Linked DNA regions of Struthio camelus. The protein of the gene in region 2 binds, or shares a complex with, the protein of the main gene of each other region. Links are inferred from orthologs where the notes say so. Each region holds a gene or a part of one and is shown on either strand. Other genes may lie near its edges.

Region 1 (7,507 bases), about 130 Mb from region 2:
ACTTTACCAAACTCTTTTAAATGAGAGTACCGCCTCTCTGGTGCAGAGTCTACTTGATGCATTTGAGCAGCCCTCAACAACGAAATACAAAATGTTGACAGAACTATCATTTTGAGCTATCAGTCTGTATAAACTGATGGTATTTTTAAGGAAGATTCTCAGGAAGAATAATGAACTATTGAATTTGGGGGGGGGGTGTATAAATATTTACACACACATGAACATACAAAAAATATATCTGTATTCTATACATACACATTTGAATATATAAAACTCATTTCAACGATTTCATGATAGGGAATAATATATCCTTCTTTTATTGAAATACACTGTAGCAAATGCTAAACGTTCACTATACTAAAATTTAGCGTTGATCAAATACGTTAGAATTTTCAGCTCAGAACCCAAAGCATACTCTGAATGAGGAGGGGGTTTTTTTGTTGTCTTGTTTTTTGAAAAAGCAGAGTCTCTAACATTGGTAATACCTTGGGAAAAACAAGTCTCAAACAGTTGTTTTTAACATTTTACTGTCAATCAGAAGAAAATAAAAGCAGTAAGTCTTCTAACAGCCCACAAACTACTTCATTCTTCAAAAAATGATCAGCGAAAAAAAATAAGGGGAACAATCACCTCTATGAAATGGTAATGAGTTCACTATAATGATCTGAAACATACATTCAATTTCCTTTCTCTAATGAAAACACAGAATACACGAGCATACCTGCACCAGATGCCGATCTGTGCTGAGATTGCGGTCTTCCACTAGGTGAAGAAGGTTCCTTCATGCGATCAACGACATTTTCAGACAGCTGAAAAAAATAACCCCCCACCCAAAAACAGTCAGACAGCATCTCCTCCTTCCTATCACCCCTCCCCTAATGAAAAATTAAATGAAAATTTTTTTTAAAAGGGCATAAACCCACAAAGTAAGGTATGACAGCAGCTTAAGATTTTATCAACAATGTAAATGTTCTGTTTCAACCATGTTTCTCTTTCTTTGTGTGGTGATCAACCAAAGTGACTGCAAACAATCACGGAGAACAAGGTAGTTTAGGCTCCCATAGAAAAAGAAGGTTGAAGGTGGGAGAATTGATATGCATTGATACGACAAAATAAAAGATAACACAGACAGTAAAGGAATCAATACCCTTTGATATGCTGCTTGTAATTCATCAGCCTTTTTGCCTTTCTCAGTTGTTGGTATGACAGTCAAATACCAGAGTGTACAGTTGCACAGCATTTATCATAAGGAAAACTTCGTCCTTAAGAAGTTCTCAAGATACTTGTATAACACAAGTGGTAAAAGCAAGTCTAGGCAACCACTAAGTTCCTTCTAATGCTGACATACGTGCGCATAAAATATTGTCATAACTTACATGGAACCAAACTGAGAACAAAAGCAAGGCCCAGTTTCAGGCTTAGTCCAGCCCCCAGAAATATTTAACATAAGTTAAAGCAGTAATAACATGAAAGTTTCGTTTTCCATTTTAGAACTTTCTACTGGTTTCCTCACCACTTACTCCTAAAAATATTGTTTTGACTGCTCAAGGAAAGTTTATTTTAACTAGTAAATTTTTTTATCAAAATATTACTAAACTTAGAGCAGAGTGTGCTTCAGTGGCAGAAACCCTTCTTAGAAAGATTTTGCTAAAATTTTCGATCTAACATGCAACTGAAAGTGTGAAATTCCTTCAGCTAAAGGTTTCTGTGCCCAGTCCTAGAACTCTGAACACCACATAGTTCTACACACGCCAACAGACCCACTCTTACATGCCCTGTTCCCTAACATTATTTAACAAGCTAAATCTTCTGAGTATCTATGACACCATTCACTTTTTATTCCCAATTTTTCAAGATCCAAGATATTTTACAGCACTTTCAATACTACTTCCTCGTACTTAAGCCCCTGGAGCAAGTAATGAAATAACAAATACTTTATTCTGTTCTTGTGCTCCAGGTGTTTTAAAGAGGATGAACTTTCCTATGAACGCTTACATTATCGTGAGCTATTTGTCTGAAATCATTAAACAGCCAGAACAAAAAAATATTAGTATGCTGAGACAGGCAGCAATTACTATATTTGTTCATGCTGCAACATTCTTCCCTAAGAGCAGCAATACAAGACAATTCTTCATCATTCCAGATATGAACTACACAGTGTGTCTCACTAAAAAACTTTCATGACGGAAGACTGCTCAAAAAGTGCCATGTCACAAAAAGTCTGTCTTACAGGCAACAACATGCCATAGATAGGGAAAGAACAGGAACGTTTCTGTGGGTGCACACGAGACAAGTTATACTGCACGTGAGTCACAGCAGAATATTGAAGGGGAGGGAGCTCTGAGAGGTGGAGGTCAGAGAAAGGCAGAACAAGTCATGTATCTCCTACAACTGCTCTGCCATTTGTCTTTGGAAACCTCGTTGGGAGCAAGGGTCCCTGCTCAGAGCTTCCTGATCACAGCTGCTTGACAAGATATACCTGTCGCTCCACCTAAGCACCCTGGCTGTCCTCAGGTCTGGAGGGGGGGGTTCAAAAAATTAAAAAAAATCAAAAAAGGAAGAGCGAAGAGAAGGAGCAGGACAGGAAGCAGGTGGAGGTCACTCGGGGAAAGCGGCTGGAAGCGGAGCAGGGAGGGAAGAGAGAGGGGGACGTGCTGGGCACGGAGCGCAGGGGATGGTCGCGGCCCGCGGAGGCAGAAGGAGGCGGGAGAGGGGCCGGGGCAGCGCCGGCGAGCAGGCCCCGAGCGCCCCTGCGGCTGCCGCCGAGGGCCCGGGCGGCGCCGGGCGTCCCCGCTCTCACCCGCACGCCCTTCACCACCGTGATGTTCTCGTTCTCGTCCGCCTCGAAGGTGACGCGCCGGGTGCTGCTCCCGCCGCCGCCCATCTTCGCCCGGCGGCACCACCACCACCACCACCACCAGGCCGCGGCCGGGGACAGCACCAAGGAGACTCGCCGTCCCCGCTGCCAGCTCGCCCCCCTCAACAACGCCGCCTCTCATTGGCCCGCCGCTCGCCCAGCCCCGCCCCTCGCGCATAGAACCCCGCTCCCCGTTGGCTAGGGGGAGGTCGCCATGGAAACCGCGCGCCCCCGCCGAGCAGCGGCAAGGTACCCTGGGTCCGCAAACTTTTTCGGTTTGAACTTCCCCAAGGTGGCTGGGGGGGGCGTGGCCTACAAGTCCCAGGGTGCCTCGCGCCGGGCGGTGGCGACGGGAGGCGACGCGCGTTCGCAGTGCCCGCTGGGTAGCGTAGTCCTCGAGTGGCTTACGAGGTGGAGGGGCTACAGCGCTCGGGGAAATGTCGTTCCCCCCGGCGGTGCCGGTTGTGGGGCTCCCTCGAGCGCGACGCCGCTCTGAGGGGACTTGCCGCCCTTCCCCGAGTCTGCTCCTGCCGCTGGCGCTTGAAGGTGCGCGCCTTGTCCCTCCCTGAGGGCAGCAGCGCTCATGGTGGGCAGCTGGCGCTGGGGTGGAGGCTCGAGGCCTGGGCCCGAGCGGAAAGGTCTTACTCCATTTTCAACGTTATAATGGCCGAAAATTGCTGCGAACATAACCCCCGCGGACATGTAATTTTCTTTCCAAGAGGCTGACGGCATAACGTTAATTACACGCAACGCGTTTGCTTTTCAGCCGTCGGTGTGGAGGCCGTTGGGATCCGGCTGTTGCTCAGGTGAAGTCCCGCTGCGGGTAGGGTGAGGCCTACCTGCGTTTGCAGAACTGCAGAGGTAGGTTCTGGGGAGGCACCTGAAACGAGAAAAAAAAAAAATGCACAGTATAATATTAGAGAAAAATATGGTATGCTGGCTGCCAGTGGCGTCAAGACACATCTTTGAATTTCTCTTGCCTAAGTATGAGGCAAGAGCATCTTTACATAGGTGGTATATATGCATCTATGTTGTTTTGTTTCCTCTACCGTCTGGCCTCTTCACTTGTTTTATCCATCCAGTGTATCTTGTGATTAGCCAAGTTATGAAGTGCAATGAAACCCCAGTCTTCTGCTGCGGCTCCTTGACACGAGTGAAATACAAATATTAAGAACCACAATATTTAGGAATCTCTCTCTTGGTTTTTTTTTTTTTTTTTGCTCTTAGACGACCTTCCCATCTTGGCTTAAGGAAGGATATCCTGTTTTTACTGAAGTAGCACCGAACCCTTCCACTGCCTTGTAAGAAATTTGTCCCAGTGTGTTTACTTCTGATCATAATGGAGAATTGCAGCCAGTGTGAACTGACTCATTGTATTTCTCAGAATAGATGTAAGCATGATGTTGGTTGCATCAACAGAACTGCTCACATGTCCTTGATGTATTTTCAAGCAATTTTCCTTTGGATGTAAGGAGTCTATCAGCTGACGTTTCAGCAGTATCTGCCTTCCTTGGGGCTCAAAATATTACTGAAGCATTGGCTGATAGGCACTTTACTACTAAATAAAAATTACTTGAAAATACATCAAGGGCATATAAGCTGTTCTCTTGAGGTATGGGACGTGATGTTTATGCCTGTTTTTATAGATGTTAAATGAGTTTGTTTGAAGGGACACTGTTACGAATTCAGCACCCTGGTATCTATGCTTTTAAGGGAATAGAGGGACTGTGCTTCTATATCTGTCTTGATAGTGTGTGAGCACCAACAAGCTGAGGGCTTACTGATTTTTTTTCTGTGCCAGGAATGTTTTGAGGGCTAGATTTTATTTATTCAGTTAGCTGTCTAACTGTTGTGGAAATGCCCTTCTCCAAATCAGAATCAGCTCTTCTAATATATGTTGTCCTCTGTTTGGAGAGTTCTGAGAAAATATTCTTGTCTTGCTGAACAGAAGATTTATATTTGAGAATTAAGTTTTTAACAAGAGCTATTTTCTACTATGGGTTTTTATCATTATTCTGTATGACTTGGAATTACAGAATGCTGTAACATATGCATAGATTTCAGGAAAAAAAGCCATTCTTGAAGAACAAACGGGCAGAATTACATCTCAAAATTGCTTTGGGTCATTTTGATATGTCCATAAGGTTCACTAGTTGTGGAAAAAGCAGGACTGTGGTACCCCAGAATTTATAGCTCCCCTGTAATAGGTGGAAATGAAAGACTATTTACTGCAGGCCAGAGTTATATATTTGTCAGAAGCTTTTCTCTGTGGACTGTCAAACATATCTGGGGGCTCTTTCAAGGACAATGCTGGATGAAAAAAGTATTACAAATGAATGTAAAAAAAGCCACAACAAATTTGCAGACTAAAACTGTTCATTAACAGCTGGCAAATCAACTCATGGTTATTTTACAACTCTCACAAGCAATTTGCAAATACAAAAGGAAGTTATATTCTGTGTATAAAATTTATCCTTCAAACAGTTTAAATGTCCTCATAAATAATATGCTTATTTTAAGAGCGTGTGTGTCAATACAGTACACGGATTTGACTGCTATGTCGCATAGAAAAACACAACCTGGTTCAAACTAACTAGTGCAGGCAGCAGCCGTAATCAAAACATATCAAAACAGAGCTCAGCACAGAACAGTTTATGTTACTACTCAGCAGTGTTAATCAGTCCACAGGAGTTCTGTGCAGCCAAGCTAGGCTGCTTTTGATAAGTGAGCTACCTCAAACACCGGCATCCCACTCTTCAGTCAAGGTAAAGCCATTCTAAGATACATATGATGAAGGGACATGCCCGAAGTCACCCAGTAAGTCAGTGCCAAAGAAGCAGAACATTGGTCATCTGTGTCAGTTCTCTTTGGTTACCAGACAGAACATCCCTCCTACCAAGAGAAAAGATAATGTAAAAGCAGGATGTCAAATAAAGATGTAACAATCAATACAAATCCATTCACTGCCTCTGATTCTTGTTTGATCTGAACCCATTTCTGAATTGCATAAGCAGAAAATCCATCTCAAGCTAGTAAACTCCAAATATTTCACTGTGCAGCTGAAAAACAGAAGCAGGATCTTATTAGGTTAAAAACATTCACTTTCTGTGGAGCTCTGTGCCTTTCCACATACCCACCGTGTTTTTATGGCCAGATTATAAACTCTTGACCCTTTGTTAAAAAAGCAGTGTTGCTGTCCCCTCTTGATAAAAAGATATGTCCTTGTCTGGACATATTCCTTTGGAGCAGAAATATTTCTTGTACCACTTACTGCTCAAATTGTTAGTTATAAGGTGAAGCCAAAGAGTAGAGAAGGACAGCATGGCCAGACATTCACAAACAAATAAATCCTAATGAGCCCAGGAACAAGTTATTACTAAATTTCTTGTCTCAGGACTTAAAAAATGCCATGAAAACAAGCACTTGATAGGCAAGGAGACGTATAAAGGCTCATTGCACACCTCTTATGAGCTTTTATTCTTCTGCAGAGGATCATCCTGCTCAGTCACTGCCATGGTGAGCGTGTCGTACCTCATGACTTTACATGGTTATCCCTTGATGGTGATCTATTCCTTAGAAATGTTCAGCATGGAGAGACTTTTGTAGTACCTAGGTTCCCTCTTAGCAGCAATGACCGTAATAGCAAAATCTGCAAGTGCTCCGCATTTGGAAATTACTCTTTCCTTTTAATAGTTGGATGGGACAGTTCACAGTGCCCTTTGCCATAAGGTGAGGTTTCAAGAGTACGTAATGCATCTCCACGACATGGCTGGTGTGCCAAATCCTGCTTCCACTGATGCTATTGGCACAATTTTCAGTATCTGTAATGACTGCAGGGCAAATTAAGCTAACCCATCAGTTTCTTCTCATGACTTTGCAAAGATGTTCAAAGGCCTGGTTATATAAAGGGCAGAACGTGTTCCCTTTCAATTCCAATTTAGCTCCTGTGGAAGCTGAAAGTTCATGACTTCTCTGAGACTCAGTGCTTCAACCGTTGTTTTGCTTTTCACATTCAGTGTTTTATTCTCATTAGTTCAAGACCAGAGCATGCTAGAATTTTATTCCCTATCAGCAGCAGTTACCAGTTGATATCACAGAGGAAGTCACATCTGCATGGTTTGGTTTCCTGAGTCATCAAGATTAACAATCTGATCAGTGAATAAAGATTGAATGATTCTTCTCTCTCTGAGCAGAAAGGGTGAGTTCAATTCATTGTATTCATTGCAGCAGTGAGGATGGATTTCTGGCTGGTGTCTGAGACAGCTCCAGGAGATGTCTGCTATCTGCAGAAAACCACCACTTCTGGACACCAATTCTAGAGAGCCTGGGATGCTTTTTTGTTATTTATTTCTTCACTGGCTATTATGCACTACCTGTTATCATGCGAGAGATCTCTCTGCGCTTTCCGTGGAGGGCAGCCTGGATGCCATGCCTTGCAGCGTTATCTACCGAAAGCTGTTGCAAAGCTTAAGTTAATGCATATCATGTGGTTCAAGACCCTCAGATTTGGCTATGGACTTCAAAACTTAATATATTAATATTATGTCATATTAATAAGTGATTATTTATATTGATATACTTTTATCTGACTAGTGTCGTTCAAATCAGTTGCAAGTAAGCAGCAGAATTTGTAGCCAGCCTGACTGTCAT
Region 2 (7,396 bases):
CTTCCTTTCCTCAAAGCAGCACCAAATTTTTTTAAACCACGCCTCCCAGTCATCTGAACTGCCATGCTGAGTTCAAGTATTTCCTGTGAGCCTAAGTTTGAAACAACTCTAATAAACTAATAGCTCTGCTACAACAACTATTACATCAGTGACATATACTCCACTCAAAAGGTGTTAGCAGTGGGGAAGGCTTTTGAAATGAGCCTCTCAACTTCAGGGAGTCACTCAGAGACAATATCTGACTACGGCAAACATTTGTTATATGTATGCATACAGTTTTTACATCTTCAATTTAATGTTCTTACAAGCATCCTTCGTATAAAAGAAACCTACAAAAATCAACAGCAATAACATCTTTTGTAAAATAAAAGTATAATTAATTATTGATCACCTCCAATCAGGAAAAATAAGTCGAGTCTACCGGGTCAAACAGGTATGTTTTTTCTTTCTGTTTGCATAATTTGCTAATAAGGTAAATGGTGTTAAACGTCACCAACAAAAGTAGTAAATCCAAATGCTTTAAATATTTGAGTGTTTTATGTGAATATGCACATGCATCTCAAGCACACAAACAGTATAACACAAGAATGGCATCCCCTTGACTTCCCAAAGAGATGTCAGTGATCACAGGACTATTCAAAAAGAAAACTTTAATCATTCATTCTATCATAATACTGAAGTGCAGACATTTTCCAAGGGTTCTGTATTTACATCTTAAAGAACAAAATGAAATTAACAACTGAAAGTGCAAGATGAATCTCTCCTTAAGCACGCTGTTCACGTGCAGTCTATAGGACACATATAATCAGTACTGAAGTGCTGTATACACACAATAAAACACTTATTCTGTAGTATGAAAGATTAACTGTTCTATTTTCCATTTCCATACTTCACTTTAGGATCTCATTTCTTAATACCGTACTAGGAATATTACTAAACCAATTGTTTTAGTAAAACATTTTGATGGAGCTGTGCCTTCAACTTGCTTCAGTCTTATATCTATTCAATTGATAACAAAAAGGATCACATACAATCTCTCTAGGCAATGCTCTGTACTTTCATTAATTAAAAAAAAAAAGTTTATTCCTTTTTCTAACTGAAGAGTTTATCATTATCTATAGGCATTAGATCACTCACCTGCAAACTATACCAAAACTGGTGGGAAAAAGCCTATCATATCTTTCATTCTTTTGCTTCACTGTCTTTCTCAAAAGCTTTTAACTCCTAATTAAAAAAACCTACGGGGAAAATCTGTTATTAGTTCCCAATACAAATAGGAAAACAGAGTGAACGATTAAGTGGAACTTTGGTTGTTTTTTTCTCATGTCTGTTTTCTTAGTTCACTTGCTACTGTGATCGTCAGTCTGTCAAAACTGGGGTAGAGGAAGAGTAAAAGGAAGGAAATCCTAATTATATTTTTGTGAAGGATAATATTTGCCCTAACATAAAAAGCAGCTGCATATTCTCTTGCCTTCTTCCTCCTATCTCCCAATGCTAACAAACAAACAAACCCCACTCTTGGGCACTACTTTTACCTGAAGCACAAACATCAAGACCAAGAAGCCACCTTCCCTATTCTTAGCAGCAGCAATCAGGCTAGCCTTAAGCACTGGAGTATCCCTAATGACAATGGTTATAAAAAGAGCAGTAATATTATGGCAGTACAAAAAAACCCTACCATAGATTTCAGATCTGTAACCAAGCTTAATGCAAACTGACAAGTAGTGCACCTAAAAAAAGAAAAGAAAGCAAGCTGTGAGCTTAATTTCTAATTACTGGACTGTAACGTAGCTCAAAGTTACAAGATCTGGAATCAGAAAAAAAATGTTTTGTTTCTATGCTTTTCAGTGTTCTTTATAAAACAGAGTTCCTTCTTAAAAATGTACCACTCTTCCATTGAAAAACATGAACCGTGTCTAACAGGTTTGATGTGCCTACTAAAATTTGGTATTGGAACCAGGGCCCCAGCACACATATAACCCCTTTAACGTAGAATTCAGTGTCACTTATGGGACTCTAAATAATTCTGGCAGCAAATGCTTACATAAGGATCCTTACATAACTTGCTATTGTTGCAAGTCTGGGCTCTTAACCTCAGAGGCAAAGACCTTCGACCCCAGATCCCGGAAATCTATTCCTTTTCACAGACTTTGCTGACAACCCACATAAAAATTAAAAAACTTCTAAGATAGCGAATTTCACAGCTATGTACATGAATCCAAAGCCTGTAAGAAAGGCTGCTTTCTTACAATTTCTTACAATTCCATGCTGCTGTGTCTAATAAAGGCCTAATTTAAATAACAGAAGGGGTCCCATCCGTTTTTTTGTTTTTTTTTTTTTTGCAACATGGATAGAATATTTGACCTCACTCTAAAACACCTGTGAGAGATTAGGTGACTGCAACAAATATAAAACTCGTAGCTTGCCAGAGGTAAGGAAAACGCTCCGCAAAATAATCTGGGCATAGCTGTCCCTGGATAATCCCGATTTAAGAAGACGTTTAGCTCTAAGTCGAAAAAAACTTAGCTGGTAACAACGTGAGAGTGCTCAGCACCGAGTCTGTGCGACCGACTAACACCACGTCCCTTTAACGCAGAAAGCGAGGGGCTGACAGAGAATCCGCCGCCGCCGCCGCCCGCGGACAGCCCAGCGCGGCGCCCCGGCCCGGCCGCGCCGCCGCTGAGGGTGCTCCGGGGGCGCCCCCTGCCGGCCGCGCCGCCGCCGCCTGGCCGCAGAGCCCCCCGCGAGACCCCGCCAGGCGCCGCCGCCGCCGCCCCCAGGGCGCCGGGCCGGGGGCTTCGCGGCCCCGCCGCCTCCGCGAGCCCGGCCGCTGACCCCCCGTGCGGGGATGGAGCGGCGCGGGCCCGCCGGAGGAGCCGGGCCGGGGGCGCTGCGGGGGCGGGGGGGCGCTGCGGGAGGGGGAGCGGCGGCGGGTAACGGCCGCGGGCGCGCGGCGGGGGAGGGGGGGGCAGGGGAGGTGCTCCTCACCTTGAACATGGCGGTAGCAGCGCGGGCTGGCCGTGGCGGCGGCCGCGTCGCTGCGCTGGTGACGTCGGCGAGGTCGCGCGCCGCTACGGAAGCCGGGGCGGGAAGCAAGAGGCCAACCCGCCGAGTAGGCGGGGCCGCGCCCGCCTCAGGCTCGGCGCCGTGCCCGTGCCCGTGCCCGTGCCCGCGCCCGTGCCCGTGCCCGTGCCCGTGCCCGCGCCCGCGCCCGGCCCCGGCCCCGGCCCCGGCGCGCGCTGCGCGTCGCGGTATCCCGGCAACGCGGCGGGGCGGGGCCCGGCTCCGCCATGGCGGCGGCGGCGGCGGCGGCGGCGGCGGCGCGCACCATCCAGCGCGGGTGGCGGCGCTACGTGCAGATGCGGCTCTTCAGGCTGCTGACGCGGGCGGTGCGCGCCGCGGTAGGCCCCCGCCGGCCGTTGGTGCGAGCTGCCGGCGCCGCCGCTGCGCTGCGCGTGGGAGGGGAACGCGGGCGTCGGGCGGCGCGGACGCGGGCTGCCGCGCCCGTGGGCGGGGGGCGGGGAGAAGCATCTTGTACTGGCCGGCCACGTTTTCGAATGAAATAGTTCCGAGGACCGCTCACGATTCCTCTGTAAAGCGCAGGTGTGGGACGTTAAAGCCGTCGAGAGCCAAAAGAGCTCAAGTTTGTATTTCGATCTGTTTCAGGAACATTGCATCACGCATGAAATTATGAGAAGGGTGAGCCCAACAGAAGCTGAACTGATAAAAGATCCTAGCATGAGGTGTAAGGTCAGATTCAGGTAAAGTAGACGCAATTCGGGGTTCGCCCCAATCCAGCATACGGTGCGATCGTAACTTGACAAAAGAGTACTCTGCCTGCTTTTGCTAAGCACGCTGTCAGGCAAAATTACAGTTGGAACGATACTTAATTTTACATCTTTATTTATGACAACAGATATTTTTGCAGATTGTATCTTTTGGACTAAAATTTCCCATGTAAGCTTCCAGCAGTTTTGAATATTTTTAAAAAGTTTGGTAAGGCGTTATGAGGCCATTTGACAGTTGCTACAGCAAAGAATGGAGAAATTAGCTTCTTTTTGTCTTTACCAGGTTGCTTTAGCAATTTTTGCTCTAGGAATTTAGAAATAATTATGTAGTCAGGGCTCACGATTTCCATATGTTGTGATATTAAAAGTGTAACAAATAGATATTCATGTAAAAGGGGAACACATCAAGCACATTTTGAATTTTTAAAATTGGATGTACTTTGGACTTGGATCTGATTTTGAATTATTTCTTACCATATACTGGAAGAATTTTGGTAATAGAAAATATTCCAACTTTCGGGATGTCCAATGTAGAAACATCTCTTTAGAACTTATTCATTCATTTAAAAAAAAAAAAAAAAGGAAGTCTCAGACTTACATACACATTATTCATTAAACATTCTGATCTGGCACTCTGGGCGTGACTCGTGCAAGAAAATGAGAACCATGTAGTCCCGAATGAAAAACAACCTAAAAGAAAATGTTTCCAGAGGAATTACAATATTCTATCTATGACTTCAGGCAGAGGAAAACCACTTTCAAAAGCAGCCAGGCTGCTCATAACAGTTCATGACCTTTTCTTAGCTAATGGAATTTTACAGGCTATTGTGGTCAGTTACAGGCCCCTTATTAAGGTGGTCTCGGCTGCTTTGCTTCAATTCCCACAGCCTCTCACTGGACTTTCATGGAAACATTTACCTGTAAAAGTCAGTTGTGCCCCGTGTCTGAATCTTGCATTTCTTCATCAATGTACAATCACAAGAATAAATCTTTTTGCCTGAACGCCATCCTTTAAATCATTACATTACATTAAGGTAGCCATACTTCACATGAAAAAAGTATTCTAGGGTTATGATTTTTGAAAATACATGCCAGCATTGTGATCATACCATTCCTTTCTGCAGACTTAAATTCCAGTCTTTCAATTTAACCGCATATGAGTAGACTGATCCTATGCTTTGTATGTAAGGATTTCGTGTTTTAGTAATTCTCTGTCTTCCTTTAGACGAAGGATTTTCAAGCTATTTTTCCAGTCGTCTTTGAAAATCAGTGAGAACCTTGTCGTTCCTTTGAATTTCAATGGACTTTCAGACACAGAGCTCTATTACTTTAGACAAAAACATTTGCTATTTGGAAAGTTCTGAGATCTTAAGAACTCCCAGGATCACTGAGATATGAAAATGTGTGTTTAGCAGCCATTTTTTAACCATTTTTAGTTCAAGTCACCAAATATTACTCTTCGTTTTACTGCATTCTTCAACCCAGCTCAACTAATTGTGTTTTTTTTTTTTTTGTTAAGTACTGACTCCTCATTAATTTGGGAGTTATTTACAAAGTATTTTCAACTACTCATACTTAAACTACCTCCCACAAGAACTGTTTCTGGCTTCTGGGCTTATGTTTAGAGCGCTTTTCATGAAGCAAACAGGGTTCAATGTGTTATCTTGCAGCCTTTATAAAAGACAATAGGACATTCAGAAATGTTTTAATGCCATTAGAATTGAGATGGGGCTAGAGTACAGAGATAAAAAAGATGGATTTCCCTACCTTTCCATTTTCAAAATATTAAATTAAAAAATAAAACTACACCTTTCTGCATATTTTAGCGCTCCTTGCTTTCTGCAACCCAGGATGTGGGATCTCCAGTTCACTTGGAGCAAGTTAGACTGGAGCAAGTTCTTTGCAGCTTGTATCAGAAATAATGAGTACTAAATTGCCTTCCGATAAGATAAAACAAGGCAATAGTCTTTTCTGATTTAAGTCGTCAGAAGTCTGTTCTCATATTACAGTTAATTGTGTTCTTTGTTTCTTCAGATTTGCTGGTCAGGAGTTTCCACCTTTCATCGTGTTTAAGATTTTTCGCCACACTCAAGGCCAAGGCAGCAAGTACATTAGTGGAAAAAGAATAATAAGTCCATCAAATGAGGTGACTTACTTCGTGTTCATGTGTGGTCTTTTTCTGATCAGTTAGCGGTATCTTGGTGCTTGTTATTTTTGACGTTGTGTAAGGTGTTTATTCTCTTACTCAGTCTTGGTCGCATAACACATTTCAGATGCCAACAAGTAACTTGCTTTTACTGAACGCTGTTAATTTGCAGTTAGCAAAGAAAAATTATCTTTAAGCTTAAAGCGTACACAAAGCTTTACACAAAAATATGTGAAAGCATTTGTCTATGTTTTTGGTGTAGATTATGTATGGAATAGTACATTCCATAGGTTGTGTCATACAGTTGCCCTTGCAGTTCTGTTGTGAGGCAGTTCTGTCATAACTAGGCTTGAAGGGGTTATCTTGAAGGGGTATCTCTTGAAGGGGAATCTTCCTAACTTTTGCCACCTAATGTAGCCGCCTGATAGTTTAGGAACCTTTGCTGCCCAGGTATTGACTGAACATTGACTCCACCAGAGGGTGTTAAGAGCACTTGAATAAGGTTTCTGTTTTGCAATGCACTCATGTAGTCCTTTCTCCTATGTCTCCAAGAGGAGCCACGGCTTCTAATTTAGCCACATAATTAAGTACATCAAGAAAGTAATGTCCAGGTCCAAAAATTATAGTAATTTGAAATAGTTAATACTCCTTCTGGAATATGCATCCTCTTAAAGCTGGAAATTTTTATCAAAAAGATTTTTGTATAAAATTAAAGCTTCTCAAAGAAGACATTAATCAGAACTTTGAACAGATACTTCATCTATTAAGGTATCATGGAGAGACTGAGGAGGCACACACACTCTTAAATGTTATTTGTAACAACTACGTTTTGCTGTGCCATCTTTAAAAAAATTCTTACGATTCTTTTTTAGCGTCTCTTGATAGACCTGATGGAAACAGGTTTAGCATGAAGAAATATTTTCCAGACCAGTGGGAATGCTTCACTATCACATTGTAGAATTGGACAATGCTTCTCTAGTTTCTCTAGGAGTTGTCTGTAAATTAGCAAAGGGTCCTTTTTATTTGTTGATAGATAGGAGGATTGTCAGGAATAATTTGAGGTGAAGTAAGAAAACTGCAGGCTTGTGCCTATCTTTTCTTTTTAAAGTTTTATTATATTTTTCTGCTGTATTTTACAGGCAGCAGCTGATGCTTGCAAGTTAATGGGACATCGGAAATATTATGAACAATTAGTACAAGACGAGCTTCAGTACCAAAAGCAAAGGATAACAGATGAAACAGATGTTGCTACAATGAAAGACTACATGCACGTAGGAAATGTTTTCAGATATTTTATTACAGATTTTGGTTGTGAAGATTCCCTCTTTAGCAAGGAAGTTAGGATTTTATCTAAAATGTAGATAAGTGACTTACAGGTAAAGAATGATACTGGGTCTTTTCACCATAATATTATACTTTTTGCAGTCATTTATATCTGTGGAAAGTAAGCAGTAAGGCTGTG
Region 3 (7,959 bases), on a different chromosome or scaffold from region 2:
GAACAACTGCACAACCCTCCTATTCGCATAAGGCCGCAACCAGTTTTGCGACCTGAACTTTATTTCCCGCTCCCTTACTTGGGTCCCAATCCAGGAAAAGGAAGGTAAAGCTAACTCAAACTTTCCTAGAAGTTCAGTCCAAGGGGCTTTTCACAGCACTGTAAGATTGACCCCTTCTTTTGCACCACGGTCAGTGTCTCTGTGCTGCCAAAAAACTGTAAAACAAAATGAAATGAGATCGAGTTTCCTTACCTACGCCAGCCACAGTCTGACAGCACTGAGCACAAAGTGGATGTCGATGCTGCCATATCTAACAGCATTGCTAACGTCTTCACTTACCATGCCAACTTCTTGGGTCTTCTGCCCTCCCCCCTTACACTTTCGCTATATTCAAAACACACATATACATGCGTAGTACCTCTGTCAGAGGATCTGAACAAAGATAGCCCCAGACATACAATACCCACTACAAGAGAAACCATGCGGCAGTAAGGATGTCTTATCAATGACAAGGACAAAATTCACAGCTTTAGAGAAGCGCCCTTACTTCCTCTGGGGCTGACAGGCAGGTGGGGATGAACTCCAAGTGCCAACTGTCATATTTGAAGCCTGGGGGCAGTGCTTATTTATTTTAAGAGTTTAAGAGTTTAATCTAACTTTTTAAGGAAAAATCATTCTTATCAAATAATACATAACACTGCTGCTCAACTTAAACCTCAAAGGTAGTGGATATCTCAAAAATAATTCAGTTCTTTACAAACTTTATGAAAATCAGCAGCGAGCTGAAGAAAGAGTTCCATATTAACACCCCATACAAGCAACCACAGACAGGACTTAGCCTGTGGCCGTTCTGCAGTTAGCCAACACGCACATACAGGCTAACACACAGCGCTACGCGTCAGTCTGAGAACATGCTCCCTCTCACCCGGAGAGAGATGTCCAAAAGGAATATGGGAAAAAAGCATCTATGGAAACTGGCTTTTAAAACCAAAAAGCTGTAAGAAGCCAGTCTTTGTTAACTGCAGATTCAGTGGAACTACTTTTTATATACAGCCACAAAAAGCAAATAATCTCTTTGGTACTCTAAAAACAAAGAATGACTATTCTATTTCACAAAACAAAACCAAAAAAAAGAATAAAACATTTCTACTTCAGGAAGTCAGAGATCTAAGATGACGACAGCTCATTTAATCTAATCAGGTATCATGTGATACATAGTGCTCTCTTCATTTTGAGCTCCTAGAGGTCATATACAACCTATAGCAGCAAACCCACATTTTTCTCTAGTTCCATCACTATGCAACTGACAGAGAAGCTAACTAAATTAAAACAATTTGTTTTACTGCTTATATGACAGGTGGAGTTAAGCCCTGAAAGGGCCTCACCTGTACACTGCAAAGAGAAATGAGGCAAGAACGACTTTACCTGAAAGCACCTGTAAAGGGAGACTTAGCACAATTCTAGTTAACGTCTGTCAAGTGACTGATTGTGGGGGAAAAATAAGTAACCACAGCAAAACTCACTCTGCAAACTCATTTCAGAGGAATTTTAGGAAGGGGAATAAGAAGTAGATAGAAGTATAAAGAAGCAACAACACTGAGAATCATGGTAGAAATAAAGTAGAAATAGCTAAAGAGAAACAGGGAGAAAAAAAAACAGAGGGGAAAAAAAGGCACCAAAAAGAATAATACCATCACCTCTTTCTAGAGCTGGTTTTCATGACACACATAGGTAGATGTTCAAATCAAAGTTCAAGAAGCAGCTTCCCCACTGGCCCTTCTAGAAGCACCCCTACTCCTCACCAATCCCCACAACCTCTTATCACCCTGCGTGCTTCATTAAGGGTCTAGGTAATATTATTCAAGGGCAGGCAGCTCTCCTCTTGGATGCTTTCAGAGCCAGCCAGTGCTTCCACCTTTTAGCATCAAATTGCTTGCAAAGCAGAAGGTGGCAGTGAAGGGCACATTAAGCAGTAAGGAGAAGGGGAAAGAGACGAGAGCAAAATTTGGAAGAGGATAAAGGATTAGCATCTCATCTCTCAGGAAAGGCCAAACTCCAGCAGTCAGCCCTCTTCACTGCCACTACCCACTCCCTTCAGCGCTGCCTTCCACTTCTCCTCCCTCTTCCTTGCTGGTTTTCCCCACTCACTCCTTCCTGCAGCACATACTGCATCCCTAGACCTCCCCGCCCTGCTCTGCCTCAGTTCAACCAGTGCTGCCCCCAACAGCACCTCCCTCAGGCCAGCTCCCTGCCCCATGCAGCCCCCAACCAAGCCTCCCCCCAGGCCTCTGGCACCTCTCTCCCCTGCACCTGCTTCCCCCCAGTCTGTCTCCCTCCGGCCTCTGATACCCTCTGCCTCCCAGCCCTCCAACACCCCTCTCCCCTCCCAGCCCCTCTCCTCCAGCCTCTTGGCTCCCCTCTCCCCCCCCCCGCCCCTTTCCCCTAGGCCTCTGACTCCTCTCTCCCCTCCCAGCCTCCCTCCCCCAGGCCCCTCTGCCCCCCGGCCCCTCTCCCCTTCGACCTCCTCCTCCTCCACCCCCTCTCCCCTCCCAGCCCCTCTCCCCGAGGCCCCTCTACCCCCCAAACCCTCTCTCCCCTCCCAGCCCCTTTCCCCTAGGCCTCTGACATCCCTCTCCCCTCCTAGCCCCTCTCCCCGAGGCCCCTCTGTCCCCCAGACCCCCTGTCCCCTCCCAACCCCTCTCCCCCAGTCCCTCTGCCCCCCAGCGCCCCTCTCCCCTCCCAACCCCTCTGCCCCCCCAGGCTCCACAGTACTCCCAGGCCGTCTCACCCTGATGCCTTGCAGCACCCGGACTTGCTCCCGCTCATCCAGCCCGAAGGAGACCTTCCTGCTGCCGTGGCTGCTCTCGCTGCCCCCCATGCCAACGGGGAGGAGATGGGGGGGGGGGGAGTCTCCCCCCCTCTCACACCGGGACAGCCGCTGCGAGCAACACCGCTCCCCGCCCCCCTTTCCGCCGCCTGCCAACATACCCGCCCCTCATTGGTGGCTGCCTCCGGGGGCGGCCAATAGCGCGGCGCGTTGCTGGCGGCCAGCGCGGTGCAGGCTGGGGGTTGTAGTCTCGTGCGGCGGCCGCCGCCCGGGTTGGGGGCCCCGGGGGGCTCTGCCGGCGCCGTCCTTCCGCGGCGAGCCCAGGAGATGCAGCAGACAGCCGCGTTCCCAAACCTGGCCCTCCGTCGCTTGTGCCAGGCAAACCTCCCTCCCCTAAAAACTCAAACTGCTTCAGGAGGAGTTAAAAATAACAATCCTAGCACATCAGTTTGGAAAAAGCTACCCTCAGCAGTAAACAATCTGCACCAAAGCACGTTCAGGTTCAATTTCTGCCCCTCGGCTCTCCTGCAGCTTCCCCTCGGGAGTGGAGGTGCCGATCTTGCCCACTTTTTTATCATACTACCCCTTACACTTTCACTTTGATACGCCAATATAACGGGTTTCTTTACTGGGCAAAAATTAGCAGAGGAAAACAGCAAAGAAGCCCAAATTAGCACACAGTAAATGAATAAAAGTGGAAAGCATAGAGCTTATACTTTAAGATATTCCTTTAGATTCAGGAAATTGGACGAGACAGACGAGCACCCACTGCACGCGACCAAGATGCTGCCGGCTGTGGAAGATCCCCAGGGCGACAAGCCCTTACGGGGGTCCAGGCAATTTCCCCCCTCACCGTCTAGGCCCCGTGCCCCATGAGAGCCCACCTCCGGCGCCGAGCACAGGCATCCCCCTCCACCCCACCGGCGCACCCCGTGTCCCTCTCTATCCACCTTTTCTCCATAATTGTTGAGGGAATGCGTCATCACCCCAGCGCAGCTCACGTTTCTCTGATGATGAAAAACAAACATAGGCTACAGTCAATAAGAATTACAGTCAATTTTATGGCAGCTGCTTTGCAGGCAAAATTAATCATCTCCTTTAAGCCAGCAAAGACTTAACAGTTGTAACGTTCCTTGCTATGACAGGCACGTTCCCAGGTGCCATGTAGATGAGAGCATCGCACTGTGCTCCAGGTCATATAAACCCTCAGCAGGATACAGACCCTGCCTCCAAGCGCTTAGAAGCTGCAGGCTAAATGAAGGGAAAGAGAAAGAAGATAATGTAAAACACAAGCAGCCGGAGCAAGAGATAGTAGCTTTTGGAGGAGCTTTTCCTAGCAGTACAGGCTACATCATGCCCTATACAACTCTGTGCATTTGTAGCTAGACACTTACTGAAGCCTTGCTATCGACACACTGCTTTCCTACTTACTAGTTGTGTGTTAGAACAGCTTTCACTGTGCTTAATGCTTACCCTTCACTATAATTAACATGGAAACCACCGGTTTGGCTCAGCAATGGGACTCCGGCCAGGTCTAAGGAAGGATCCCCACTCCCTCCCCAAGAAATCCAGGCCTGCAGCATATTACTGAAAGGGAAGAATATTTTTCTGTTACTTGGGTTAACACCTAGCACATTGCAGACTTTGCTTATTGCTTGACCTCTCAAGACTAGAGCACTACAAAACGGTACTATCAGCTATTTGCACTGCAGCATAGAAATGCTGCGCAGGGTCAGAGAGCAGGTCTGGCTAAGCCAAAACTCTGCTTTTGAAAGGGACAACAGCTGATATCTAGGAGAAAGCATGAGTGAGGCAAGAGCATAGCAATTCCTCCCAGAATATTCTCACAGCCTCTCATTTATTTTTAATCTGCCACCCACCAATTTCATTTGATGGCTCCCAGTTCTTGTACTGAAAGAGCCCCTGAACAGTCATTGCCTGTTCACCTCCTCTGTCCTCTCAGGATTTCAGAGACCTTTACTCTTGCTCTTCCAAGCTGATGAGTTCTCAATCGTGTAATTGCTTCTCCTACAACCCGCAACTTTAATTATTCTGTCACCCTTCCTTAGGCCTTTTCCAGGAGTAATTCCAGGTACAACTCCAGCCAGGTGCCAGGCAACATCTGCAAGGATGCAAACATAGCAGGAGGGGGAGCGTGCAAAGAAACAAAAACACAATTCAGACCTACAGCTGTGCCTTTCTGTGATCTCCCAGAGCCTGAGAATACTGAGGTGGAAGCAATTGCGATGGTGGCAGAGCACCTGTACAGTAACTCAAACCCTTCCCTTATCCATGTGAAGAGGAGCAGATGATGCTGTCAAGTTAACTCCTGTGGTTAGCGTCCCTCGGGCAACCCCTACAGTTTTTTGCAGGTAGTCTGGCAGGAGCTTGGTAAGGTAAGGCTAGTAGGCTTTACTGCACAAAGACCTGACTTAACTCTCAGGCTAGAGACAAAGCTTACTCCATTTCCCCAGCCTGTATGCTCCACCAAAGAGCGGCTGACAGGTGCTGGCTACTGCCAGCTCTTAGCTGTTACATCAGGCTACTGTCCCCTGTACAGCCAGAAAAATTGGTCCAAATACTTAAGTGGAGTTCATTTCAAAGCCCAAAGGAAAAATAAAGCGTACAACAGTCAACTCATAGTTCCACACGAGCCCCTTTCCAAGCAAGAAAGACTGGCCTATAGCGGAGATCCCTGATGCCGGACATGCCAGGGAACAGCAAGATCTAGTTAACAGGAAGAGTCAGAGCTTCACTAATTATTTAGACCTGGAGACCACTCTCTGCACTGTCAGCTGCTGTCCTAGTAATAGACTTCCAAGAACCCAAAGTCTCCAGCTCTGTCATTCCATTAATATCCACCATATTTGTTCAGGGTTTTATCTTTTGCTTTTTAAAAGAAAAAATTCCAAAAATATTTTCCCCCTTAACATGCGTCACTTGAGAGAGAAAGTAGGACTATTTATGCCAAATTTAATTTTATTTCTTTATTTTACAAACAAAAAATATACATTTACTCTATATTTAGTCTCTTTGCATCTCCCTCCCCCCACAAACACATAACACACTTCTGCTCAAGGACCATTGTGAATATGGCCCAAGGCATTTATATACATAAAAATACAACAAGAGGAAGGTCAGTCCATGACCTAGTGCAGAAACTCCTCAGCAGCAGAATGTGGGACGCTCCAGAAACACTGGAGTCCTGCCAACAAAGGAGAGGATGGACATGTTGACCACCTACCAAGGCGATCCTTCAGCACTGAATTTAGCCGATAAAAAGACAAATTCATAACCTGCTCTTCACATCACCAAGGAGGGCAGGCAAGTCCTTTCAAATTCAAGGTGTTCAAGAGGCAGCAAATACTCCTTGGGATGGGAAAGCATTTGCTCCTTTATTCTTGAACTGCTTCAAGACTTCCACATCTCCTGGCCCTGTCCAAGGCCCACCAGCTCCAGGGAAGCTTTGCAGGTTTCCCCGTAGTGGCTAACAGCAGCTCACTACTGGTGTAGCTGAGCAGCATTAGGAGCAGCAGCAGGGCAATTCAGAGACCATGTCATCCATCCCTTTTACAGTAAGCAAGTAAGTGTGGCTCAGGCCGATTCACAGCAAATGATGGGAGGAGCATAGAACATTTTTCTGTGCGGCAAAAAGCTCACCTGGCCAGTTGCTTGTCCACCCTTTACACAGTCATTGCACGGAGGAGAAATGTGAAAGGCTGTTGAACCACATGGTATAACTCAGCTCAAACATATGGACAAACGGAAGCCTTTTTTCCTTAAAAGTAGATTTAAAAAAAAAAAAAATGTATTTAAAACTGAGGGGAGGTTTTTTGTTTTTAAGGTGTCAATGCTACTTGGAAGCCTGCAGGGCAAAGTCTACAGGCAGCAGAACAGAGAGGCTGCATTGCTCATTAACTAAGAAGATAAGCAAAGGGCCTGCATAGTTTTGGCAACCAATATGCACTTTGTGCTCTTATCCAAACTGTTTCTTTCCTTACAGTGGAAACACCTGGTAGCAAATGCTACTACCTAGTAGCAGTGTTTTGCATGATCCAAACTATCACTGCACTGTTCCCTCCATGAGGATTTCCTAAAAAACTCTTACCTCAATATTCTTCTTCAGGAACAGGAGAGTTGGGGAAGAGATGCACACAGTCCCCAAATGTTTCATATTCCCTCATTCTGCCATCTCCAATGGAAAGCTGCCATTAGTTATAGCAGATCTCCACCTACCTCGAGGACCCAGGTAGGAAGGAACCTCCAAAGCTAGAAGAATAAACCTCTTTATCCCTGGAGAGCTCAGTATGTCCCAGAAGCCAGTCTGATGCAGCTTTCAGCGGAACAGTCCCTGGATTGCACCACGGTGTCTTGGAACTGCGTACCAGGCAGTTCAGACAACAGTCCCTTTTCCAGAGTGGAAGAGATGAACAGGAAGTTCCAGATAGTCTTTAAATGAACCACACTCCACATGCACAGAAGTATTTTCAGTGTATCAAGCCAAAAAACCTATTCAGACCAACAGAAATCTGGACATCTAAACTGCAACATAAGAGAAGAACCTTGCCACAGAAGCAGTAGCTGAGTGTCCCTCTCCCACCTACCTCCCAACCTAGAACACCAGTCAGCTTGATTCTACTGCTCCGATGGTGTTTGAGAGCTCCCCTGCTCTGCTCTGCCTCAGGCATCTGAATTTCTCTGGAGCCTTCATCTGCAGAGTCAGCTCCCTCCTTTACAGTCCCCTCCAAGACCTTGCCAGACCCAAGAAGCAGGGTGCACATGTGAAACACATCCACCTCACATGTTTTACTCTTAGAACTCAGCCTTGACTCAGTGTCATTACTTAGATTTCACTGCGAGTTCAGCTGCACAGCAGCACAGTCTGCAGAGCCTGTTTCACAGCTGCTTCAGCTCAGCTAGTCAGCATGGCTGCCTGTCCTTCTGTCTCCCTGTCCTGTCAGGTCATGTCCATGCTGCTACCTATTAACTAGTGCACCCCAAAACAGTCCCAGGGCACACTGAACAGTTCTCTTCACACCCCTCTTCTTCCCACACACTCTTAATGCTCCTTTTATCCCCCAGAAACTGCCATTCATGATTTTCATCAGTATTAGCTGAAACTGGAGAAGAGC
Region 4 (7,639 bases), on a different chromosome or scaffold from region 2:
CCCCTTAATTACATGAGGACTATTTGCTGCACCATAAAAATTCTGAATTACCTTACAAGATATTTATAACATGCTTTGTCCTCTCTAAAATTCTAGCAGTAACAAGAACACTCATCCCTTTTGAAAAGATCAGAGGTTGAATTCAGACATACTAGTAGTATTAAGAATTTATACACCCTTCAACCTTACATAAAGATTCAGCATTCTCAGAAATAAGTGATCATTTCTTTTTACGCTCTCGTTTCCCTGATCAATATCTGCAATGATGAACTTACCCTACTGGTGCATAAACTGTATCTAGTTCTCATGGGACCACAGACTCCCAAACACTACTGAAACATTCAATCTCATGTTGTGGCATAGCGTAGGCATACCTGTGTTGGGACACAGGTAAAGCAAGTTTTGTAGGTAGAAGAAACATTAGCTCCTCCAGTTGGAAAAGGCAGACAGGTTTATGGGCACATCTCCTCCTCCTCACTTCATAGTTGGAAATCGAGGTATCAAGAAATGAAGTGAACTGCCTAAAGTCACCTAGTGGGCTAATGGTAGAATAGGAGCAGAATACACTTCCTTAGTCCCAGTCCAATGCTCCTTTCACCAGATTATAGTATCTATCACCCCTTCTTCACCATTCACTTTACGAGGACAACATCAAAACAAGACTTCAGGATAAGATCACTTTTAGCCCCTTACTCCATTTCACAGTTTGCTGAAAAATTATTTTACCTTTATTCCAGGAGTCAGAGGGAGAAAAGTCAAATTTTGGAGTGGGTGGAAGCTATAAAAAGAAATAGAGACAAAATATCAGCATTTGGGAGTTTCAGTTATAACACAATCCACATCACCTTGGAGAAGCCTCTTGAACTCAGATCTCAAAGACATTTAGGTGCCCAGTCGTCCTAAGTCTCAAAAGGGATCAGACATGTGGCTTAAAGTCTCGAAGTAACCTTTCCCACAGCATAAAGCAGGGGCAGAAGGCAGTATTCATCCTTTGGGTGCTCTTGAAAACACATCCACTCAATTACTTAAGTAGCTGTCTCCTTACAGTTACATTATAATCTCCAACATGGAAAATGATTTTCAAACCTTCAAAGGCTTCTCCTAGTCTGAGAGATTTAAAAAACTAAGGACTGCTCAAAGACAATGGACTACTCAGGTAATTTGCATCCAACTTGACTGTTAGGAGCTTGACAAAAACAGTTCTTTAAGGAAGAGAATCTTTTCATTAATTTTTGAAAAGCACATAGGATACTCCAATAAAAAGCTTAGGAATACCACTACATAGTGAAATATCCCTGCATAGGCTTTCTATCTCTTCTTTCAAATAAGATCTATGACCAATTGCTCTCCTCTAGGTTTAAAATTGTATCCTTCTTCCATTTCAATCCTCCTCAAAACATTCTCAGCGTGAAATCCAGATTCAACGGCAAAACTTTCGTCAACGTCATTGGAACCAGAATACCTTCCCAGTGCTTTCATTCAGAGAATGTGTATGGTTTGCTAACTACATTCACCTGCACAGTCCTTACCTCCCAGCCTATGTAATTTGTCCATTCTTGGATAGCTGGAGGAAGTGCTTCTTGAGCTTTTTTGAGGGCTTCAGCACCTTGTGTGCCACTGCCCAGCAGCCCCTGATCATATGCCACGTATACAGCTGCTCCAGCCAGGCTTCCTTTGATGACAAACCTGAAAGAATTAAAAGCACGTGAACAGGTCAGTTCACATTATATATATCAGTGCACCTTTCCCAGCAGGTTGTGACACGCAAAGGAACAGGGTTGAAAGAGCAGTTAGAAGGTCACAAATGTTTTACTGTGATGTCTTATTAGTGTCAAAAAACAGCAGAAAGATAGCTAGCTGTCCTCCCCTTTTTCCTAGATCAAATATTCCCAGTCAGCCCCTTGAAACTGTACCCCAGTTCACATATCATCAGTGACACTTGTGAAGAAAAAAAGGTGAAATTGTCAAAACTCTCTAAATATGTGCCACTTTGGAAAGTCTGAGAATTATGACATAAACTCTTGAAAAAAGGGACTAACAGATTTAGCTGTGGGTAAGAAATCCATGTTTATGATGGTTCTTGTTGCCTGGCTAATAACTACACAGATTACCTTGACAGACACCAATCTTTTGTTAAGCTCATTACAGTCCAGTTAGCATCTGACCATGCCTGTTCCTGCATTGCTTGTGCCTGTAAAGCTTCCCAGTGCAGCACATGGTGTGAAAACACTAGTGGCAACTCGCAAAGTGGAAGAAAATATTTGATCCTTAATTATTTTTTCACTATAAATAAGAGACCTGAGAGACAACATCTTTCCAAAAATTCACAGGGCAGAGAGCATTTCCCCCTCTGAAAAAACAGCAATTGCACACCTGGCAAAAAGAGAACTTGCCAGAGAGCAGTACCACGACAGCAGAGCACTTAATAGCTACAGCCACTAAGAGAGGAAGGAGCGAATCGATAGTTAAACCCGGCTATTCACAAGCATTTGGGGGATTTCTTTGATTAAGATGTATTGCTCGCTCCCAACACACCCTTCCACAACTTCTCCCTTCCAGCGGGCGGCACATCCAGGCCCGAAAGGGCTCCCTCGGCAACCAAGTACCCCCGGGGCCTTCCCAGGGTTTACTTTATGCGTCTACGCCCGCAGCGGGAAGGTCTCCAGGCTCCCGCCAGGCGTCTGGGGAGGCGCCAGGCAGCGGCCGGGCCGAGGGCGAGGCCGGCGCGGGCAGGATCAAGGGCAACGAGCTGCGCGGCGCGGGCAGGGCCGCGGCGGGCCCGCGGCAGTCGGGCGGCCGGGCCGGGCCGGGCCGGCGCGGACCGGACCGAGAAGCGGTAAAGGGCGGGCGGGGGCGGGCGGCAGCCGCGCGCGGGACTCACTTGACGACGGGAAGCAGCCTGGCGGCCATCGCTCCGCCAAGGGCAGCGCACGCTGGCCGCTGCGCGCCGCGGAGGCCGTCGGGAGCTGGTCACGTGGCCAGGCGGCCCCGGCCGCCCCGGCCATCATTACCGAGGCGAGAAGCGTTCGCCCTCCGCCTCTCTCTGCAGTGGGGGGCGCACCTCCCGCGCAGAAGAAGAACGGTTGAAAAGGAGAAGGACTCGTAGGAGGACTCGGTTGGGCTTCCTTTCGCCCGTCCTGTCTCCTCAGACCAGCAGGGAAGGCACTTCCGCCTCGGTAGCTGTCATGGCGGCAGGGGCGGCGCCGCGGAGTGAAGGCGGGTCCCGGCGCTCGGGGGAGGCTGCGGTAATTAAATCAAAACAGGGGGTGCGCAGGACCGATTGCATTGCTTGCTTTCATCTTTAATCATTTACCTGAAACAGCTGCAGAATTTCCACGGCGCGTCTGGGGGGTGCAGAATCGAGTAAGGATGAAGCGTTGTGAAAAGCGCGGATACGGTTGTGTGTGGAGCGCTGCAGTTCTGAATGGGTGAATTGCGGGTTGATTCCCTCTTGCGCAAACAGCTGGGAACTAGGCAATGCTGGTGGGGAAGATCAGCCTGGACTAGAAGTGTACTAACTGCTTATTGATACACATATTTAAGCAGATGAAACGCTTGAATCTGTGCTGCATTTTTATCAGTCTGCACCAAGGCCTTCGTCCCAAAATGTGTCATTTTGTCAGGCCGCACAGGGTGAGGGGACTTTGTCCTGCGGCCTTGGCTCTGGCCTAGGTCTTAGTCCCCATCCAGCAGTCGCGTTTTAAAGTAGGCACCAGCTGCTTTACTTACTTTACTGGATGCGCGTGTGCCTGAAGGAGCACATGCTGGTCAGCAGCGGGATCGGAGCCTCGGCTCTGTGCTCGCCAGGGTGGTGTGTGTACAAACTGCCTTTTCCTGTCCTCGCGGCGCTTTCCTGGGGTGCGGAGTTCCGTGTCATCGACCACAGGAGCAAGCTGTTAGTAAACATGTCATTAGGGTTGGGAGGATATCGGTTAGGCAGCCATGTCTCAAAATGAGGCTCTCGCTACAAAGCCCAAAGGCTCCGACTCTCCTGCTTCCCTGCGTGAATTTTAACCATTGCATTGCTCAACGTTTAAGGGGAGAGGGAACAAAGAGGAATACTGAGCACTAACTTTCTTTTTCCCTCACCAAGATAGTTTATCTGATTGCATTTTTCCTATCTTCTTTCCCTGTGTCTGCCAGAGTCTTTCGCACAAGAACAGAGGAGAGAGTAAGCTAGTTTTAAACACGTTTGCAGAGCTGTGGAAGTCGATGAAGTGAGTTTAGCAGAAGGGCAGCTTCTGGAACTGCTGAAAACTTAATTCCTCCTGTGTTCACTGTGTCTAACTGCTCTGGCTGCAAAAGAATTTTTAAAGACAGAAAAAGAACTCAGAAAATATAGAGAAATGATATTGGCTAATGATACTCACCTTGGTAAGTGAATGTTGTTAGTATTTAGTAAGTTCCAATGCTGACTTAAGTTTTGAATTTTCCTTTTGCAGGACAAATTCTAAAGAGAGAGAATTACAGAACTAAATCCTCCACCTTTTTCCCTGCTTCATGTTTCATTTTACATGCGGCTTGCATGCTGGGATCCGTAAGCATGGAAAAGAACATGTAAATGTTAGTGTGATTTTATTTCCATATTAAATTTTTGTGGACAGCTGCAGATGATCTATGGTGTTGGGGAAAAAGATGATTGTTTAGTTCATTTCAGATTTGATGTATTTTTATGTCAAATATGTCTGCAAGAATATGAAATAGAATGCAGCAGTGCAAATTGCAGAAGGCATTTACTGTAAAATTAGACTTTCAAATCGGGGTTTAAATGAGGAATCTGTGCTGACTCAACAAGTTTTTGTGGAGTGTTCCATTAGGGACAGACATTTTAAAAACAATTACCTCTGTCCAGTTCATTTGGGACAGACAGAAGGACAGACTAGATGCCCTGAAGCAAATGAATGGCTGTGAAAACAGTAGCTGAGAAAGGCAGGGAGATGGATGAGATGATTTCCGGAGGATCCTTCCAGACCTGTTTTCTGCCATCTCTGGCTCCCAGCAGACTTCATTGCCTCCAGCCCTGCAGCTTTACTGTTTTCATCCTGTTAAGGTTACTTGCTCTGGACAGGGAGTTCCACTGCCTTTGGTTCCACCTTTGTTAGATGAATGCAAACCATTTTCAGGACTGTGGTGCCCCCTTTCTTCAACAGGGAAAAGCAATTGCTTTGCAGCCTCTCGTCAAAGGATTGAGAGTCCATGTCCTTCCCCCTCTTCCATTCTTGCCGAAGATGACTTTGGCTCTTAGCGGAGAGACTTCTCAGGTAGAATCTCGTGACTCTTCCTGGTTCTACCCAGCACCTCACATATATGCAGGACAGAAAGACTTTATATACCTCACACAGGTTGGCTCGTAGCATCAGAGGAAGGAGATTACAGCGTTTTGGCTGGGGCGCTCAGCTTCAAGACCCCACATATTCAGTCTCCTTATCAGGATGAGCTTGTCTCTGACTCGCTTGAGAGTACCATCAGCAGGTAGATGGGTGCAGCTCTATGGAAACAGGTTCAAATAGTGGGCTAAACAGTATCCCAACCTGCTGCTTTCACAAACCCATCAGCATGGTTCTGGGAGAAGGGGAACCAGGGTCTTCACAGGCTTTGCTCCAAGCCTGCCTTCTAAGGCTGGTCCCCTGGGTGAGGATGTTTTGGGGATATAAGTGGAACACCCAGCACAATAGCATGAAGGCTGCTGTGGCTTACGGAGCAGTTATGAAGTGTTCTGTAGGAAGGATAAACTTGATTTAAACCTCATATTTTCCTCCAGATGCTGTCTCTGAACAGGAAGGTGTGTGAATATGTGAGAATTAACATGTATGTGCATGTGTGGGCATGCAACAATAAAAGGACCTTGCCTTGTTTTGGTCTCTGCAGCAAAGACTGGTGAATAATATTTTTGTTGATTTTATATCATAGTTGTTTTCAATAGCTAAAATTTGCTTGGAGAGCCCCTTTAGTTAAAGTGTTTTGTAACTCTTCACCAAAATGGGACAGAATTGTTCTTTCCTTGGCTGGAGAAACTGTTGGGATTTTATGTGTCTAGGGACTTTTTGAGCAGAGGACTGAAGAAAGTATGAGAGAGTCTCCTCACGGAGGAAACTGCTGTGGTTGCTACTAGCACCTGAACCTGAGCAGGGATAGGGGCCAGTTCTACTGGGAGCTGAATACAGGCTCAGCTAACACAAAGCAGCTACGTAGGAGCTTGCAGGGGAATCAAACTGGAAGGGGAAAAGCATGGAGAACACAGACAGAATGAGATATGTGTTGCAATCCAAGGGAGTTCATCAGAGTGGAAGAGATGCTTTCATTTTTGAGTTCTTTGCTCATGGCCAGCATGCAGCACAGGTCAGCAAACACACAAGCCTGTGCACAGATGCAGCATACGCTCCACTAGAGCCAGGCACGTACAGTAATACCCACCAGACACGATTGTGTTCTCACATGCCAGTTGCAAATGTGCAATGCAGAGGCGCATGCTGATTCCATCAGTCTTTATTGCAGCACAACAACCACTCTTCCTGCATGTCCAAAGGCATTCACCACATGTAAGACTGGTGGCTATACTACCTGTATATATCATCCCACATGCACAGATATTCAATGCATACAACACAATCCCACCCCCAAAATAGATATCTTCACCACACATACATACACAAGCAGAGCTCAACATTATGGGACAACTGCATGGGAATTTGGGTACAATCTCCCATGGTTCCCCTCAGTGACAACCATGGCCTCTTAACTGCCTTCACGATTGTCATGGAAACAGGAGATGATGGCAATGGCTCTGTTGAGATGGCCATTGCTGGAGGCTCTGGTAACAGAGGTCCACGGTCTAGGGGTAAATGTTGCTAGGAACAGCATGGTTGGGGGAGTTCAAAAGGAGCTTTCCACAGAAATGTACAGATGTGGAGCCATTGCTTAGGTGCACTAGCCATCAGCCCAAGACCTAGAGTCATAGCCAGGAGTGGGGGGGCTAAAATGAGTATTCACCTGTACAGACAAGGATGCAGGGGCTTAGTGTCTATTAAATTTGTCTGCTGTAAATGACAGCACAAGACCTTTTGGCCTTTAATTCAGGCTGTGGCATACATGTCAACAGGGACTTGAAAGAAAAGACTTAAAGAAAAGGGACTTGAAAGAAAAGGGATAAATCAGTCACAAAAGGTTTCTGTGCAGAACCTGTTTTCCCTTGCTATCCCCTGCTTAGTGAAGCTAAGGGTGGAGACCGCATTTCCAGCAGGGACTGTAATGTTTTTGCTCCTTAGTGCAAGGAACCTTCCCTTTCCAAAGCCATACAAAGGAAGCATAAAGGGCCCCATTAATCTTGCACACATTCCACCCATGAGGAATTTCTTTCCCTGTAATATTTTGCAGCCCCCCCCCCCCTTCTTCCTACCTCTGGCCCCTCATAAATAGCCCATTTTCTCTGGGATGGTGCTGGGGTGGGGAGGAGGGAAAAGAGAAGTTGCTGAGCCTGTGTGAAAGGTGAACCAGCTGTAGCAGCTGAGCTGGGGCTGGGTGCAGAGGTACAAGCTGAGCCTTGGCAGCTGTGCAATGAAAGGGGAAATTGTACTGCTGCTGTGGGACCCTTGCAAAGTTCCCTTCCTCAGAGGTGGAGAAGTTCAGGCGTTCAGAAATA

Evidence for each region.
Region 1: APOO (region 2) and CHCHD3 share a complex: the UniProt entries of both Homo sapiens proteins name them as parts of the mitochondrial contact site and cristae organizing system (MICOS) complex. The link is inferred for Struthio camelus from reciprocal best matches to the Homo sapiens genes APOO and CHCHD3.
Region 3: APOO (region 2) and CHCHD6 share a complex: the UniProt entries of both Homo sapiens proteins name them as parts of the mitochondrial contact site and cristae organizing system (MICOS) complex. The link is inferred for Struthio camelus from reciprocal best matches to the Homo sapiens genes APOO and CHCHD6.
Region 4: APOO (region 2) and MICOS13 share a complex: the UniProt entries of both Homo sapiens proteins name them as parts of the mitochondrial contact site and cristae organizing system (MICOS) complex. The link is inferred for Struthio camelus from reciprocal best matches to the Homo sapiens genes APOO and MICOS13.

What each region holds. Positions count from the first base shown.
Region 1 is NC_090942.1:3,045,534-3,053,040, reverse strand, and holds the start of CHCHD3 (MICOS complex subunit MIC19), read right to left. Parts: upstream 3,008-7,507; 5' UTR 2,885-3,007; coding exon 2,801-2,884; intron 810-2,800; coding exon 722-809; intron 1-721. UniProt on the Homo sapiens protein: Component of the MICOS complex, a large protein complex of the mitochondrial inner membrane that plays crucial roles in the maintenance of crista junctions, inner membrane architecture, and formation of contact sites to the outer membrane.
Region 2 is NC_090942.1:135,303,244-135,310,639, reverse strand, and holds the start of APOO (MICOS complex subunit MIC26), read right to left. Parts: upstream 3,013-7,396; 5' UTR 2,998-3,012; coding exon 2,989-2,997; intron 2,699-2,988; exon of another isoform or gene 2,528-2,698; intron 1,731-2,527; coding exon 1,679-1,730; intron 1,239-1,678; exon of another isoform or gene 1,138-1,238; intron 1-1,137. Other genes in the region: C1HXorf58 (uncharacterized protein CXorf58 homolog), read left to right, coding at 3,291-3,401, 3,667-3,761, 5,823-5,934, 7,074-7,205. UniProt on the Homo sapiens protein: Component of the MICOS complex, a large protein complex of the mitochondrial inner membrane that plays crucial roles in the maintenance of crista junctions, inner membrane architecture, and formation of contact sites to the outer membrane.
Region 3 is NC_090955.1:7,729,308-7,737,266, reverse strand, and holds the start of CHCHD6 (MICOS complex subunit MIC25), read right to left. Parts: upstream 3,011-7,959; 5' UTR 2,987-3,010; coding exon 2,789-2,986; intron 1-2,788. UniProt on the Homo sapiens protein: Component of the MICOS complex, a large protein complex of the mitochondrial inner membrane that plays crucial roles in the maintenance of crista junctions, inner membrane architecture, and formation of contact sites to the outer membrane.
Region 4 is NC_090967.1:7,958,734-7,966,372, reverse strand, and holds the start of MICOS13 (MICOS complex subunit MIC13), read right to left. Parts: upstream 3,010-7,639; 5' UTR 2,911-3,009; coding exon 2,882-2,910; intron 1,687-2,881; coding exon 1,530-1,686; intron 779-1,529; coding exon 727-778; intron 1-726. UniProt on the Homo sapiens protein: Component of the MICOS complex, a large protein complex of the mitochondrial inner membrane that plays crucial roles in the maintenance of crista junctions, inner membrane architecture, and formation of contact sites to the outer membrane.